Linked DNA regions of Schizosaccharomyces pombe. The protein of the gene in region 1 interacts with the protein of each later gene in a biochemical or structural test. Each region holds a gene or a part of one and is shown in the gene's direction. Other genes may lie near its edges.

Evidence for each region. Proteins that work in one complex are often made in the same cells at the same time.
Region 2: the proteins of wpl1 (region 1) and pds5 form a complex in vitro, tested with the Schizosaccharomyces pombe proteins (one study listed by BioGRID).

The regions. Positions count from the first base shown.
Region 1 is NC_003423.3:471,982-479,626, reverse strand, and holds wpl1 (WAPL family protein), read left to right. Parts: upstream 1-2,898; 5' UTR 2,899-3,106; coding exon 3,107-4,607; intron 4,608-4,616; exon of another isoform or gene 4,617-4,647; coding exon 4,648-4,700; exon of another isoform or gene 4,701-4,745; coding exon 4,746-5,000; 3' UTR 5,001-5,053; downstream 5,054-7,645. Other genes in the region: U3 snoRNP protein Utp15, read left to right, coding at 1-424; DNA replication licensing factor Cdt1, read right to left, coding at 928-2,196; Rheb GTPase Rhb1, read left to right, coding at 5,130-5,191, 5,251-5,509, 5,564-5,800; SPOM_SPBC428.15 (Obg-like ATPase), read right to left, coding at 6,188-7,417. UniProt on the Schizosaccharomyces pombe protein: Regulator of sister chromatid cohesion in mitosis which negatively regulates cohesin association with chromatin.
Region 2 is NC_003424.3:1,908,400-1,917,482, forward strand, and holds pds5 (mitotic and meiotic cohesin loader subunit Pds5), read left to right. Parts: upstream 1-3,448; 5' UTR 3,449-3,642; coding exon 3,643-7,260; 3' UTR 7,261-7,498; downstream 7,499-9,083. Other genes in the region: serine/threonine protein kinase Ppk1, read left to right, coding at 1-2,940; Rho family GTPase Cdc42, read left to right, coding at 7,709-7,756, 7,920-7,988, 8,419-8,880. UniProt on the Schizosaccharomyces pombe protein: Required for the establishment and maintenance of sister chromatid cohesion during S phase. Prevents their formation until eso1 is present. May also have a role during meiosis.

The DNA.
Region 1 (7,645 bases):
CGATGAATTTTATGTCGAAGAGGCTAGACGTAAAAGACTTCGTCCTTTCGACAAAGCTTTAAAATCATTTTGTTACTCTGATGCTTTGGATATGGTATTGGAGAACGGATCACCTGTTCTTATCATAACTATGCTTATTGAGCTTCTTCATGTTGGAGGGTTACGGATTGCATTGTCTAACAGAGATGATTTATCTCTTACTCCTTTGATAAACTTCTTAAGAAAATATATAAGAGACCCTCGTTTCTCCGAAACTTTATGTATAGTTACTAGCACCATTTTAGATATATACGGAGCTGCTCTTGGGGGCAGCGTAATGGTGGAAAATGCAATTTCAAAGCTTCGTGAAAAAGTTGAGCAGGAAGTAGCGGTTACTCAAAGGGCAAATGAGTTGGTTGGTATGCTTCAGATGTTGTCTGCTTGACCAATGATTATGATATCTTAATGTGCGAGTTATACCTCAATTTGTGTGTTCTAACTAGCAACCTTTACATTATCGATATGATTCACTCAGATTGTTTATTAAAAACGGCGCCTTATTTGAGATTTTTAATTACAGCAATAACTGCCACCCTTTGCCGCTGGAATTGGTAAATATCAAAAAATTTTATTCAATGTTTGGGTGTTAATTTAAAGTATTCGCAGAAAAACAAAAACTTGGGATTTATGGCAGGTTAAGTGGTCTTAAAGGAAATAATTATTTATTAAAAAAAAGTAATTTTGTAGCTTGTTAAAAAGGATAACCGGATTTCATGTACCTAGAAGAGTAAATCAACCAAAAACATAATAACAAAAGTAAATTAATGAAAGATTCCATAGTATCATAATATTGGTGATGGAAATTATATAGATCGTAAAAGATAGTAAACGTTAAACCACTGCCAGCAGTGGTGATCTTAGGCATGTCATTCGAAACATCGCCTACAATTAAGAATTTGAAAGAATAGTGATGCTAGCCTTTGTTTGCAATTCTTCAATTAATTGGGATCGCAAGTATGGTTTCCCATTAACAATCCTGCTGAATGTGACTACTTGAATATTACCAAGAAGATTGATAGTGCACCAAGCAGGCAAAGCTTTTGAAAGCAACTCAATTGCTTTGGCACACTGGTCAGGTGATAAGCTTGATGATATCGACATTTGCATGCTTGTCACAATTTCAGACATAGAAAAAGATCGTTTAGTTGGCCAAGTGGAAAGCTGAACAAAAATGAGATCAATAATGCGGACAAATGAGACCTTTTCTTTTGCTAGAGTATGAACAACTAGGTTGTTTTTAAATTCTTCAGCTTTTTTTGCTTCCATTGCTTTTTGCTTTTTACGCACGCGATCGAACAGAGAAGATTGTCTCAAAGTTAACTGAGATGATGTTAGCTTACGCGATGAATTTTGAACAGATGAAGAACTTTGATGGGATTTCAAATTGATTTTTGAATTCACTGACTTTGACAAAGTGGACGAACTGTCAAGCATGCTACACGAGACTAACTCATTAGCATATTTTGCCGTGTTAGTAGTGAATTTTGGTTCTAGAGTTTGTGTGGGAATACGTAACTCGCGACTTGTTGATTTCTCCAAATTGAGCTTTCGAACTAGTGAACTTTCATTAACAGTATTCTTGGATAGACTGGGTAAAGCTTGTAACTGTTGAGCAGGAATCTCAGTTTCAGAACAATGCTCTAACAACCATTTTTCTAGTCTCCGTTTAAATTCAATGGAGCGGGAGAAGGCTTCAGGAAGATTCGCATTGCGAGGGTATGACAGTTCATATGTTGCAACACGCTTTCCTTGATGAATAGTAAAACATGGGGTAATAGCAAATGACTCTGGCCATACGGTTAAAATCTGAGCGAGATGAGTTATTTTTAAGGAGATTTTGGTGAGACCAGAGACTTTATTTTCTAACAGCACAAAGGTTGGTTTGGTATTGATGGAGAGGTGAAATTTTACACATATGTCGACTGCATTAAAGACCTTTTCTAAGAAAAGAACTGATTCATTTTTAACTGGGGGTAAAACCTCATTTTGTTCTAAAGACTCAGTGTCCAAGTTCTCTTTCAGCCTTTTAACAGCTGGTATTATTTGAGAATCCTCAGGATTTTTGGGTGGCTCAATAATGGCCGCATTCGACCTTTTTGATGAGGATCGAGTTTTACGGACAGAGAAGTTCAATTTTGTTTGCGATCCAGCGCTCATGATTTGAACACAAAATCCAAAAATAAGGATATTGTTGTCGTGACTATATAGGGCGCGACATTTCATTTATATCGAGGGTTATATTAAATTTGAGCGTGTCGCGTTTGTTGACGCGTCGCGTAGCTATCGTGTCGCGCTTGCTAACTAGTTCACATTTGTCCGACTAATCAGTTTATGTCTTACTTAGCCTATATGATTCAGTAGATTATATTGAATAAATAAGTTCCAACACTTGTACAAAATTCACAAAACAATTTTTTAACTACAGCTTTTCATTTTCCGAAGTTTTTATAGAATCTCTTATACGAGTTTAAAATTATTACAGGATGCATCGTTATATAAATTTTGAATAACTCCTTTGCTCTGCGAGATATTATTGAGTTGTTCGTTGTCGAAATTTTCAATAATATGTTACATGTCACAATGATTTCTGTATAATAAAGGTGTTGCACCAAGTTCAGGCTCTCTGAAAACAAACTTGTGTCAAATAGCCACTCGTCCACTTATGGTCTTCCATAAGTTGTACGAATTCAAAACTTTTAGTTAACTTTTTTACTATCAGTGGATAAGTTGCTATAATAAATGAATAAAAAGATGCCCTGTATGATTTCTATCGACTAAGTCTTTTCTATTTATACTGGGTAGAGTAACAATGTGACTCAAATATCTATAAGGACCGATTGAAATCAACCAAGTACAAATAGAAAAACGATTCTAAAATTACTGAGTATAAAAAACGAATTTCTCATCAAGGACCCTATTTTCTTTTTTCTTTGCTCAAGAAGTTATTAAGCTCTATTTTCGAAGGTTTTCACTCACTCGACAAGCTACATTGTGAGTTGGTACGACCGTGTTCCTCCATTTTTGTAAAGAATCGATGTCAAGCCAGGCGGATTGAAGAAACCTTGAAATGAAAAGAGGAAAATGTAAGGAAAAAGATAATGGTTTGAAGAGAATTTCTTCGGAATCGGAAGTTTGGAACTTTTTAGACGTGACAGTTTCAGAGTTAAACAAGCAAAAGCGCTCGCCAGGACAGACCGTGTCTAAACGACTGCATAAAAAGCAAAGGGTCGTTAGTAATCCTGATTTGAGTTTACCGTCTTCACCGGTAAAACAAATTTTAAGAAATGGACTTCAGAATTCAAAGTACGGTTCTCATAAGACAGGACTGGAAAGGTCCGCGAGCTGTAGTAGTATTGATGCTTCCGCAAACCATTCTTCCACTACCTATCGGGAACAAAGATCGTATTTGATGGAGGAAGGATTAGATACTCAGCCAATTGTACCCCGTGAAGTATCCTCTGGTCGAGAATTGGATTCAACCAACCATACTATTGGTACAGAACGTGCTTTTTTGATAGAGGAAGACGTATCAGAAGATGATGAAATTCAAATGAAAAGTATACATGAACTTCGCTTTGCTGGAGAGCAGCAAAGGATCGTTGATGAAATTGAATACTTAGTGGACGGAGTGACTTTCTCAGGTAACTCTTCTGCTTCTCGCTATTTGAGTTTAATAGGAATCGCTGAAAAAATGTTTGACAATTCATTTCGTTTATGCTTAAAGTCGATACGGGATGTCTTCTTGCGAATATTTGAAGAAATTGATCCTAAAGATACTTTACACACTTTTTTGCAGATTTATATATTTGCAACTATGGCTAATGAAATGGATTGCATGAGTTCCTTGCTTGATGCTTACTCAAACAATGTTAAACTTCTTTTGCAAACGGCTATTACTTTAGAACCGCAGGTACCGGTTTCAATTTTGGCAAAAAGCTTACCAAAAAGTGTAAAGGGAGCCGTTCAAGAATTCGTTATAAAGGCAGAGCTTACTTTTAGTTTTAGCAATGAGTCTCTTGCTTCTTCTGATTCTATCAGTCTTGCAGCTATCGCTCTTATGAAGACGTCCTCGGGAGTTTTTGCGGAAAGCGAGTTGTTTACCGAATTAATCAATCTTTTAATAGAAAAATCCTACCCCATCTTGAAGGAAAACGATGGAAGCAATAACTTCTTACTTCATGCACTTTGTAGTTCTTTAGAAAAATTTACGGATTTCCAGGGATCAGAAAAGATTCAGAAGGTTTCACAGATCTTATCCTCAAAGTTACAAATTTTAATTGATGAACACAATGAAACAAATTCACCAAAAATTGACGATACAGTTGTCCATGCATGCAGTGAAAAATTGTTGCGTACTTTGATTCAAACAGTTAATTCTAACAGTGATCATGCGTTAGCGGTTTCTAAATCAGAAGTCCCATTGTTTGCTTATAAAATTTTACAAAAGTTTTCTAATTTTTCGTCCGATGATGAAACTACACGAGAACTAATTATCTTAATCCTTGGTCTTTTACTAGGGCTAGTTGAGGAATCTCATGAGTTTATTCAAACTATCACTCATGTTGAAGGTAAGTTCCTTTTATTAATATTTTTACTAATTCTATTTAGTTTCTTTCGGAGCTTCAGCACTCGATGTCCTCATTTCGTTTTATCAAAAGAACGTAAGTTGTACTACTTCTGTTGTAAGACATTTCTAACAAATGTAGGAAAGTATCGTAGAAATTAGTGGATATGTCGTAATGATTTTAAGCCATTGCTTTTTAAATGATCCCAAAGCGTTTGCCCAACTCAAGCCTTTGATATCTCAGTTTTACGAATCTCTACATAAATTTAAAAATTTTCATTTGAAATTGAAAGAGGAATTAATGATGATGGGTTCTAATGGACTAGCCATTGTTTCTATAATTGATGAACTACATAAATCGTTGCAAGACTACTTGCGCAGTGACTTGGTAAAATGACCTTTGCGGCGCGCTGGGAACGTGACATCCACAACATCGTTGCTTTCACTCACTTTTTTTTACGATCACTCTATAGTTAATAATTTGCCTTTTTAAATATTATAATCTTGAAATTTTCTAATTTAAACAATGGCTCCTATTAAATCTCGTAGAATTGCTGTTCTTGGCAGTCGTTCTGTTGGAAAGTCCAGGTAAGCGTTTGATTGAAGTTTATGCGCAAATAGGTTTACTAACCATTTTTTTTAAATAGTTTAACGGTGCAATATGTTGAAAACCATTTCGTTGAATCGTATTATCCAACTATTGAAAATACATTCAGCAAGAACATCAAGTATAAGGGTCAAGAATTTGCTACTGAAATTATCGATACGGCTGGTCAAGATGAATACAGTATCTTAAATTCTAAGCATTCCATTGGAATCCATGGCTATGTACTCGTTTACAGCATTACTAGCAAATCTTCTTTTGAGATGGTTAAAATAGTTCGTGACAAGATATTGAATCACACTGTATGTCAAATTATTAGAATTTTTAAATTTTTTACTAACCTACTTGCTATTAAGGGTACTGAGTGGGTCCCCATTGTGGTTGTTGGCAATAAGAGCGACTTGCATATGCAGCGTGCTGTTACCGCTGAAGAGGGAAAAGCATTGGCCAATGAATGGAAATGTGCATGGACAGAAGCTTCAGCTCGCCATAACGAAAATGTTGCTCGAGCATTCGAGCTAATTATCAGCGAAATTGAAAAACAAGCAAATCCTTCCCCTCCTGGTGATGGAAAGGGTTGTGTTATCGCCTAAGCTTCTGCTTGAATTTATCATATTATGGATTAATTTATTTTAACTGAATTAACGATTTTATCTTTGCTAATGCAAGATATGGGCTTACATTACATGAGGTGATACTTTGCACACAAACGTGTTTTTTTACACATGGGTTTACAAGATTTCGACTCTTTATTTCAAATATACAAGTACCTAAACTATGGTTTTAAAATTTAGTCAATGTAATACATAGTGGAGAAAGTACAGCCAGACATTGTAGACGTAATTTGTTGAGTTAGCTCTTCGGAAGTTTTAAACTAACCAAATTAATTTTTAGACATAGTATTGTTTATTAACATCTATACAAAACTATTTTGAATATTTCCCAAAATCGACCTTTTACCACTTTTCTTCATGAATCACTTAAGCTTCAGCTTTCCGCAATCGAAAGTGAAGGATATCCGTTTTACCTGGGACAATAACATCAGATTCGCCGACGTTTCCATTTACACCCACAATAGACATTGCTTCTCCACCCAATACCATTTGAGATACCTGTCCAGCAGTCGTTCCTTGCTTCACTAAGATGCAATCTCTGAAAACACCTTCATTAGGAGAGTTTGCAAAATTGTGAACGTTTTTAACGGGAAAAACTGGAATCAAATTTAAAAGTTCCATTGCCTTTGCTAAAACATTACAAACTCCAGTTGAACCGTGTCGAAATAATACCATGTCTTGGAGGTCTGCGATACGGGTTTTAAGATTTTCGCTCAAAGGTTTCAAGCCAGAGTCAGGAAAATCGTCTAGCGTATCAACAAATTCAGAGCCCTCCTCGTACTTAACAAACCCCTGTTTTGCCAATCTTCGAAGAAAAACTTCGGATATGGCTGAAGCCAGTACGAGTCGATTTGGATCTTCTTTTCTAGCTATTTTAGATATATTTGCATCCGCATCAGGATGATCAATTTTGTTAAGAGCAATAACGGTAGGAAACTTGATATCAACGAATCTGTTAACCACTTTTTCAATTGTATCATCATCCCATTTCTCCAAAGGTGTATCTAAATGTAGCGAATCTAAGACTTTAGCTGTAACAGCAGGGGTACTTCCATATCCAGAAAACTGGGATTGTAGTGTATTGACAGGATTGGCTTTCGTAGCAATATGCCTACGAACTATATTAGGCCATTTCTCTCTCAGATTGTTTCCGATCCATGCAGTTATTTCCTTATACAACCAAGCGATATCTACAGAAGGATCATATCCACGACACACTTTTCCTTCCGCATCAGTAGTACCTGAGACATCTACCACATGGACCAAAGCATCGGCATGCCGTAAATCGTCTAAAAATTTATTGCCAAGCCCCTTTCCAGCATGCGCACCTGGAATAAGACCAGCTACATCAAGCAGCTGAATAGGAATTGAACGTACACCATTTTTGCAACCACCATAAATTGGTTTACATTTGTCCTGTAGTCCAAATCTTGAGCACGCGCATTCTATTTGAGCATAGCCAATAGCCCGGTTTGGCTCAATAGTGGTAAAAGGGAAATTACCAGTTTTAGCAGTGGCATCTGTCAACGCATTCAGCATCGTAGATTTACCACTGGAGGGCTTGCCAACAAATCCAATTAAAATGTCTCTACCCATTATTTGGAAACCTTAGAAGAAGTATGTGAGAAAAATTGGTACTGAAATCCAGGACCTACTCGTACTCTGCAATCTGAGAATTAGAGTAGTGGTAAGGGTCGAGTGTTTCGTAATACCTGCTTTTAGGACTAAAGATTTAAAGGATTGTTTGCTTGCACATTTATAATATTTTTTTTTTAGCATAATTTATTTTATTGTTATTATGTTATCTTCGACATAGTTTGAAAC
Region 2 (9,083 bases), on another chromosome or scaffold:
AGCTTATCACGATCTACCTTTCAATTTCACAAGCATCACCTTTCTGGCAATGAGAATCCTCAGCCCTCTTCCGAAAGCCCCTACTTCACTAACAATGAACGTTTGAATTCCTCTAGTTTCCCTCAAATCCATGATAATCAATTATCTCCATCTTTTAACACTTCTTATCAAGCCATTCCTTCCTCCTCCTCTAATCGATCCCGTGGTGGTCCTTACACCCCAAGCATTCGAGATGACTCTCTTCTAGCTTTACTCAGTTTCTCCTCGAATCATCGTCTGCATTCTATGCCCTCTCAACTTCAGCCTTTTAATAATGCATCATCATACACTACTCCAATGGCCCCTTTTACGGCATCCTTTTCTAACAAGGTTTCTCATTCTGCTTACCCCACAAGGAGGCTACCTAGTCAGGCAAAAAAAACATCGGCAATAGAGAGAGTTCCGGTCAATCTCAATTTCCTACAGTCGGACAACTTGGTTGTGCAGTCATCGCCGCAAACGAATTTTGAAAACTTTGAGTTTCCGAAAAAGATTCCATCAAAAGAAGATTTGGAAACTCGTGAAGTGTTATTACTCCCTCCGCAAACGTCTAAACTCTCAAACAAAAATTTGGACACCAAAAGTTTTACCGATGTTAACAAAATTTCCCAACAAGGATTTGTGGAAATCAGTTCAAATTCTTCAAAAGTTACCCCCAATACAAGCTTGCATCAATCCTTTGGCATAGCAAGCTCCTCTTCCAATAATTATATGCAGACATCGTCTGAACTTACCTCTTCTACCGAGAAGATGAATGGATCGCATCCTTTGCAATTGTCGAATAAGTCATTATTGTCGATCCATCTTATGCAGTCTAAAAACCAAGGTCATGTTTCGATGACAGGTTCAGATAAACTCTCTTCTCATGTACAGTCCGAAACCGAGAATGCTCCTGTAAGTAAACCAAGTAAACCAAATACTTTGACTGAAGATGAAAAACCTTTACAGTCTACGAAGCTCCCTGGAAATTCTCTTACTGTTGGTGAATTATACCAAGAACCCAAAAGTATCCAGCTGCCCGAATTGTCTGTTTCACGGACTACTTATTCGGCTCAATCCTCTTCTGTCAAAAATTGCAACGAACGCATTCCCTCTGCTAAAGCTCTAAAAAAGCAAAAGCATTTAGTTCCGGAAAACAAATCAAAATTGCAATATGTATGGCAGAAAAAAGAAAGCCTCCCTTATGCTAACCTTACTTCCGCAAGTAATACGCACTTTTTTCTGTCGGAAAACCAGAACGACACTTCTGAACGGTTGACCCGTACTTTGAGAAAAAGCACAAAAAACTATACGTTTGGCTCTTATATATTGGGAAGGACAATCGGTACCGGCGAGTTTGGAAAGGTTAAACTTGGCTGGCCTTTACCAAAAGCCAATTCTACTATTCACCGCTCAACACCGCAAGTTGTAATTAAAATAGTTTTGTCTACGAAGCAAAACTGTCAAACAAGCCGATTGATGCGAGAGGTGGCCATTTTAAAAGGTTTGGGTAATAATCACCCCCATATTGTAAAATATTTGGATTTTGTAAAAACTAAACATCATTTTGGTATAGTACTAGACTATGTTAATGGTGGTGAACTTTTTGATTATATACTGGCGCGCCGAAGACTTGAAGATTCGGTTGCTTGCCGACTGTTCGCACAATTAATAAGTGGTGTTGCCTATTTACATTCTCGAGGAGTGGTACATAGAGATCTGAAGTTGGAGAATATATTGCTAGATACTAATCGAAATATCGTAATTGCGGATTTCGGCTTTGCGACTACTTTTGGGCACTTTAATACTCTCAGTGAACACTCATTGCCCACGGAAAAGCCAGATTTATTTAGTACATCATGTGGATCGCCTTGTTATGCGGCCCCTGAATTAGTGAATTGCAAGTCTGGAATGTATGCTGGCACACAAGCAGATATTTGGAGTTGCGGTGTCATTTTATATGCAATGTTGGCTGGGTATCTACCATTTGACGATGATCCACACAATCCAAATGGAGAAAATGTCCCTCGACTCTATCGGTATATTTGCAGTACTCCTTTAATATTTCCGGAGTTCTTTAAAAGCAAAGCTCGCGACATTCTTAAAAAAATTTTAGTTCCTGATCCAGCAAAACGTGTCCGAATGTCAGCAATTATGAATCACGCATATCTCCGGTCTCATGTGTCTCTATTTGAAACGTATAACGATGATGAAGCGACCTCACTGCGTCCGTCTCCCATCCGTTTGCTTTCTCAAAAATCTTTAGCTAGTGTTTCTTCAGTTTCGTCAATCAGCACTTACTCTTCTTCCATTGAATTGACTCCTCAGATCACAAAAACTTCATTAAATCGAGAAAAACCGGCATTACATGGCAGCATCAATCTTAAACACTCAACGAGGCCGGTTGTACCAATTGCAGATGGTATCTATGCTTCTACTACTCTTCATCCAATCGATAATGCTAAAAACCGCTTGGTTTCTTTACTGCGCCGTCCCAAGCATAAGGTTAAGCATGCCAAAGTTGAAACACGTGAATCTCCTATGAAAAATAAGCCAACTAAGAAACAACACAAGCGTGCATTTAGCATGTTTGAGAGGCCCACTTCTCAGAAAGCCCCATTGTCACCAGTAGAAAGCAAGATTAACCTTATGGTTGCTCCTAAACGTGTATTAAATTGTGCTTCAGATTCTTTAAGAGCTTTATTAGCAGGAAAGACGGATAAATCTTTTTGGGGTTCACGTATACCATTCTTGTTTAATAAATTGAAATCCAAACAGAAGGCTGTATCCAGCTCCTTCAATACGGAAAACTCATTTTTAATTCTTCAAGCAGTTTCGCCTTTAACTTTTGGAGGTTGTTTCAAAGAAGAAAACGCGTATGGGCAGAAGAAGCAGCACATGAGACACGCTACCGTTTTTTAATGTTTGCGTTACGATATTGTATATCTCAACAATGCATGATAATTATCAAACTGCCTGTTTCCTATATTAGTTTTTTAAAAAGATGGCTCTTCGACTTTTTCTTAAGAAAAGCGGTTTATATGGTTATCAATTATTAAAGCTTGAATTGATTGTTTGACAATGTTGAACAATGGGTTTCCTAAAAAAAGACGCTTTAGCTGATTTTTATCGTTTATCAGCGTGTATATTACTTGCCTTGTACTTTACAGTTTCCGCTTTTCATCTTTATTCTAACTTTTTATTTTAATTTTTAATTTTTTGGTACAAGCACCTTTCGTTCTTTAAACTACTTTTAAACTATTAAATTTCTTTCACTCATATGTCCTTATATCTAATTCACTCGTTAATAATATTTTATCATTACCCTTGAGTTATACTTATTAGTAAATAGTGTAATATTTTAATTACAATAAATGGAACGCGTTCTTTTACGCGTCTCTTCTTTAAGCAAGTACATTGCGAGTCTAACACGAACGTAATAAAGAGTTGAGCACCACATTTTGAAATCGCATCTTTCAAGCTTCAATATTGCGAAGTACTAATTAATAAAATCAGCCTATGGCTCTTATGGATATAGAGCATTGAAAGTTTACTGCATTTGTCATTTATTTGTTAAATACCCAAGGTGAATAGTACAAAAGCGTGCAAAAGCCAACTTTTGCGATGATAAAGTTACAGTTTCAAAGAAACATTGTCCCAACACATGACAATCCGTTAACGACTTCCGAGATTTTAAAACGACTACGTGATTTACTAGGAGAGCTTACTAGCCTATCCCAAGATACTATCGACCGTGACTCAGTATTGCCAGTAGCACGATCATTAGTAAATAACAATTTGCTCCATCACAAAGATAAAGGGATACGCTCTTATACACTTTGTTGTATTGTTGAATTGCTTCGTTTATGTGCCCCCGATGCGCCCTTCACTTTATCACAATTGGAAGATATTTTCCAAGTAATTCTCAAAATTCTTAGTGGTCTTATGAATCAAGAATCTACTTATTATCCACAAATTTACGAGATATTAGAGAGTTTGTCGAACGTTAAATCTGCAGTTCTAATAGTTGATCTCCCGAATGCTGAAGAATTCTTAGTAAATATCTTTCGTCTCTTCTTTGATTTAGCGAGAAAGGGTACTACCAAGAATGTCGAGTTTTACATGCTTGATATTATTAACCAGTTGATCAATGAGATTAACACCATTCCTGCTGCTGCCTTGAACATACTATTTGCTCAACTAATATCAGGAAAGGGCGTAAGGCAAACAATTGGCTCTTCCGATTCTACTAATCACGGTCCAGCTTTTCAACTAGCGAGAAATATTTTTCATGACTCAGCAGATCGACTACAAAGATATGTTTGCCAGTATTTCTCAGATATTATATTCGATTCAAGAGATTCGCTTTCTGACTCCATGACTACTCCAGAATTTATATTCTCGCACAATTTAGTTTTACAATTATGGAAATATGCACCAACCACGTTATTGAACATTATTCCACAATTCGAAAATGAATTGCAAGCTGAACAAACTAGTGTGCGACTTGTGGCGATAGAAACTGTTGGTTTGATGCTCCAAGACAACGCCATATGGTCCGATTATCCTAGGGTATGGAGTGCATTTTGTGGTCGGCTCAATGATAAATCAGTTGCATGTCGTATCAAATGCATTGAAGTTGCTTCCAACGCTCTTCAGAATTCATTGGCTACTTCTGAGATAATTGAAAACGTAGTTCAAATGCTTCAATCAAAGTTGGCCGACACGGATGAAAAGGTGCGGGTTGCTACTCTTAAAACGATCGAACAGTTGACTTTCGAAACCTTTAAAATGCAATTTTCAGTACAGGCTTTGAAACTCATGGGTGACCGTTTACGTGATCGTAAACTCAATGTTCGTTTACAAGCAATTCGGACACTAAGTCAAATTTATAATAGAGCATATCAAGACCTTATAGATGGTGTGGAATACTCAATACAGATGTTCAGCTGGATCCCTTCATCTCTTTTGGAAGTATTTTATGTTAATGATGAAACAACTAATGCGGCTGTTGAAATTTGTATGGCTGAACTGGTCCTACAATACCTTAGTTCTGATACGCAAACAAGGTTAAACAGGCTTTTCCTTTCAATAAAGTATTTTAGTGAAAAAGCGATGCGAGTTTTTATTCTACTTTTACAAAGACAAGTTAAGTATTCGGAACTCTTAAATTACTACATTGAGTGCTGCAAAAATTACAATGGAGGTGTTATGGATAATGATGAAGAGTCAATTACCAACAAGCTTAAGAAGGTGATTGATATCATATCATCAAAAAGTTCTAATCCTACATTAACAGAAGCCACTTTCAGAAAATTTGCGGAACTTAATGATCGTCAAAGCTACAAAATGCTTTTACAAACGTTTTCCATTAAAAGTGAATATCAAGTTGTTTTAAAAAGCATAAAATATTTATTTAAAAGGGTTTCTGAAACGTTGAGTACCGCAAGTCTTGAATGTTTTAGAATATTCGTTTACCGTTCAGCTCTGTTTGCTTTTAATAAAAGCAACGTGCATGAAATAATTCAATTATTAAATGAACCTGTAAAATACCACAATTTCCTTAAGCCGTCGGAGGCTCTTTTACAGCATTTACCGCTAATTCATCCCAACATATATGGAGAGGTTGTTATAGAAGTTGAAAATATTATAGTTTCTTCGGGCATTGAATCGGATCCTAAAGTAATTAAAGCTCTTTCCCAATTCTCCAAAAGAAAAAAAAATTTTTCTATACAAACAACAACTGCTGAAATACTACGAAAGTTGTGTCTACATGGAACACAGGAACAAGCCAAACAGGCAGCGACGATTATCGCTATAACGGAGACGAAAGAATTCAAACTCGATATGATAACGAATATCGTGGAAAATTTGGAGTATAATGGAGGACTTCCTGTACGGCTTATGACTTTAGGACAACTATTTCTATACACTTTAGAAGAGGTAGAGAAGGTTGCTGACCAAGTTACAGAATTTTTAGTAAAAAAAGTTATACAGCGCTTTCCTGAAAAATATGATGATACGCATAATGATGAGGAATGGTGTACTTACGAAAAATTAGATAATCTTACCATGTGCAAAGTTTTAGCAATTAGGGTTTTGGTTAATCGACTGAGGGCGGCGGCAGGAGGAACCGAAGCGTTAAATATTGGAGCTCCTATCATTAAGCTATTGAAAGTATTGTTAATGGCTGACGGTGAATTAAGTCCGTTCAAGAATACTCCCAAAATTTCTCGTGCTTATTTACGTCTCACTGCTAGCAAATATTTTTTAAAGTTATGTTCCATTCCTTTTTATGCGGAACATATAGATTTTAGTTCTTACGTTCAAATCTCCTTATTATGCCAAGATGAAAATTTTGACGTGAGAAATTTATTTTTGACGAAGCTTCAGAAGCAGCTGCAACTTAAAAAGTTGCCAATTAGTTATTATCCTTTATTGTTCCTGACTGCTGTTGATCCGGAAGAGGAGATCAAGACTAAAGCGTCTATATGGATACGTTCTCAGGTTGCTTTTTTCCAGAAAACCCATGATTTTACCATGGAATATGTAGCAACATATCTTATCCATCTTCTCTCTCACCATCCAGACATATCTTCGATAGAATCAGAGAACTCGCTTGATTTTATTGCATACATTCGCTTTTACGTTGACACTGTTGTTAATAGTGAGAACGTCCCAATCGTTTTTCATCTAATGCAACGCATAAAACAAAGCTATGATGTTATTGAAGATGGAAACAATTACATTTATGTGCTAAGCGACATGGCTCAGAAAATATTGCAGGTGAAATCCCAGAACTTTGGATGGAGTTTGACTACGTATCCAAAGCAAATTAAATTACCTTACGAAATTTTAAGACCAATTCCCTCTATAGATGAGAAAAAGAGAATTTTCAATAAAATCTTCATAACGCCTAAAATGGAAAGTCAGATTGAACATGCTATAAGGACACCAGTCTCATCTTTTGCGAAACAGACTACCAATAAGCACGCAAATTTGAAGCAAAAGAAGACTCATAGCTCAAAGAGCGATAAAAAATCGTCTAGAAGAAGGAAAAACGAAAAAAGGAGAAAGCTAAATGAGCAGAATCCTAATATTAGGAACGTGCCAGAACGAAGTAGCTCAAGATTTCAAGGGATTCGTATAAATTATTCGGAAGCACCGTCTTCAAGTGAGGAGATAAGCGAAGAAGAGGAGGAAATTAGCGAAGAAGATTTTGATGAAATAGAGGATTTATAAAAAAGGCTTATTTGGATGCGAAATACCGATACTAGAACACTTACCCAATATTACCAATGAATTTTCAATGTTAATTAGATAAATTGCTATCTTTTTTGTTAAACAATCTATGCTTGCTAATTGCCTAAACTTTTGAAAGATGACTCCATCACATACATGCCTCCATAACTTCTGCATCTATTAATTTTTTTCATTCCTAGTAATATAATAATAAAAGTTGCATTTTTGAGTTTTTTTACGCTTTACAATTCGTAAAATCTAATAGTGAGATTGGATTAGCCGCTGTAGTATATCTTAATAAAGCATGGCTGGGCGAACTAATTACGGTGACCGCACAATATATTTACCTACAACCAACACCGGTGTTTGATACTTAGGGGTTTGAACTTTCTAGGAATTCAATAAAGTGAAGCAAAGCTTTACGATTAATTATTTTTTGTGAAATAGTATGCCCACCATTAAGTGTGTCGTAGTAGGAGACGGTGCTGTAGGAAAGGTGAGTTGATGTTTACGGAAGGTGAAGTTAAGCAATGCATAAAAAAATACAAGAATTGCTATCATCTAAAATGAAGTTTCTTTTGTCTATACATTCCCCTTTATTTCTTTCTTTCCAAAAATTGTTCTTTTGAGTTTTACACATACTGACCGTTTGAATGTAGACCTGTCTGCTTATTTCCTATACTACAAACAAGTTTCCTAGTGACTATGTGCCAACTGTATTCGATAATGTAAGTATAATTAGTTGTTTATGGAATGAAGTACTTGGTGAAGTTTTGTCCCCATATTAGAAATTTTTTACTATTCAAATGTTCGGTCACGGAAAATTTTGATATAAGGCTTTTTGTCAAAAAAAGGCTGAAGGATTAAACAATGACTCAATGTATTTATCGATTTTATCTCAGAAACTATTGAAAGTTTAATAATTTTTTTTTATCCGATGCTTTTTTTTTTCCACACTAGATCTAAAGACCGTAGGAAGCCTTATCTCGTAAGGAATAAGATGAGGCGACCACTTTCTTTCCCAGGAAGATTTGGTCGTTATTATTTCTGCTATTTGCTATATTGGGGACTATTCTAACTTTCTTGTTGCTTTTACTCCCGTTTTTAATTGATATAGCTGATTTTCATTTTATAGTAAAGATTTACTGACTAAAATAGTATGCTGTCACTGTCATGATCGGTGATGAACCATACACTCTTGGTTTATTCGATACCGCTGGTCAGGAGGATTATGATCGCTTGCGTCCTTTATCCTATCCTCAAACAGACGTCTTTTTGGTTTGTTTTAGTGTAACTTCTCCTGCCAGTTTTGAAAATGTGAAAGAAAAGTGGTTTCCCGAAGTTCATCATCATTGTCCGGGCGTCCCGTGCTTAATTGTTGGTACCCAAATTGATTTACGTGATGACCCTTCTGTGCAACAGAAACTAGCTCGCCAGCATCAGCATCCCCTTACACATGAGCAAGGTGAACGATTAGCTCGTGAGTTGGGTGCTGTCAAGTATGTTGAGTGTTCCGCTTTGACCCAAAAAGGGTTAAAGAATGTTTTTGATGAAGCTATTGTAGCCGCTCTTGATCCTCCTGTTCCTCACAAGAAAAAGTCAAAGTGTTTGGTACTGTAATTTAACCCCTGGTTTTCTTTCCTTTTCCGAAATTTCCTTAATACAGCTAGTTTACAACAGTAAACAATGTCTTAGCTTTCTTTAACGATCCCTCATATTTGCAAAGATATTTGCTATTTGTTGTTTTCATCCTAGCTTTTGTGCTTCTTCATTCATTCTGTCAATCACACACTTCTTGGGCTTTACATATCTGTGTTTTCTGG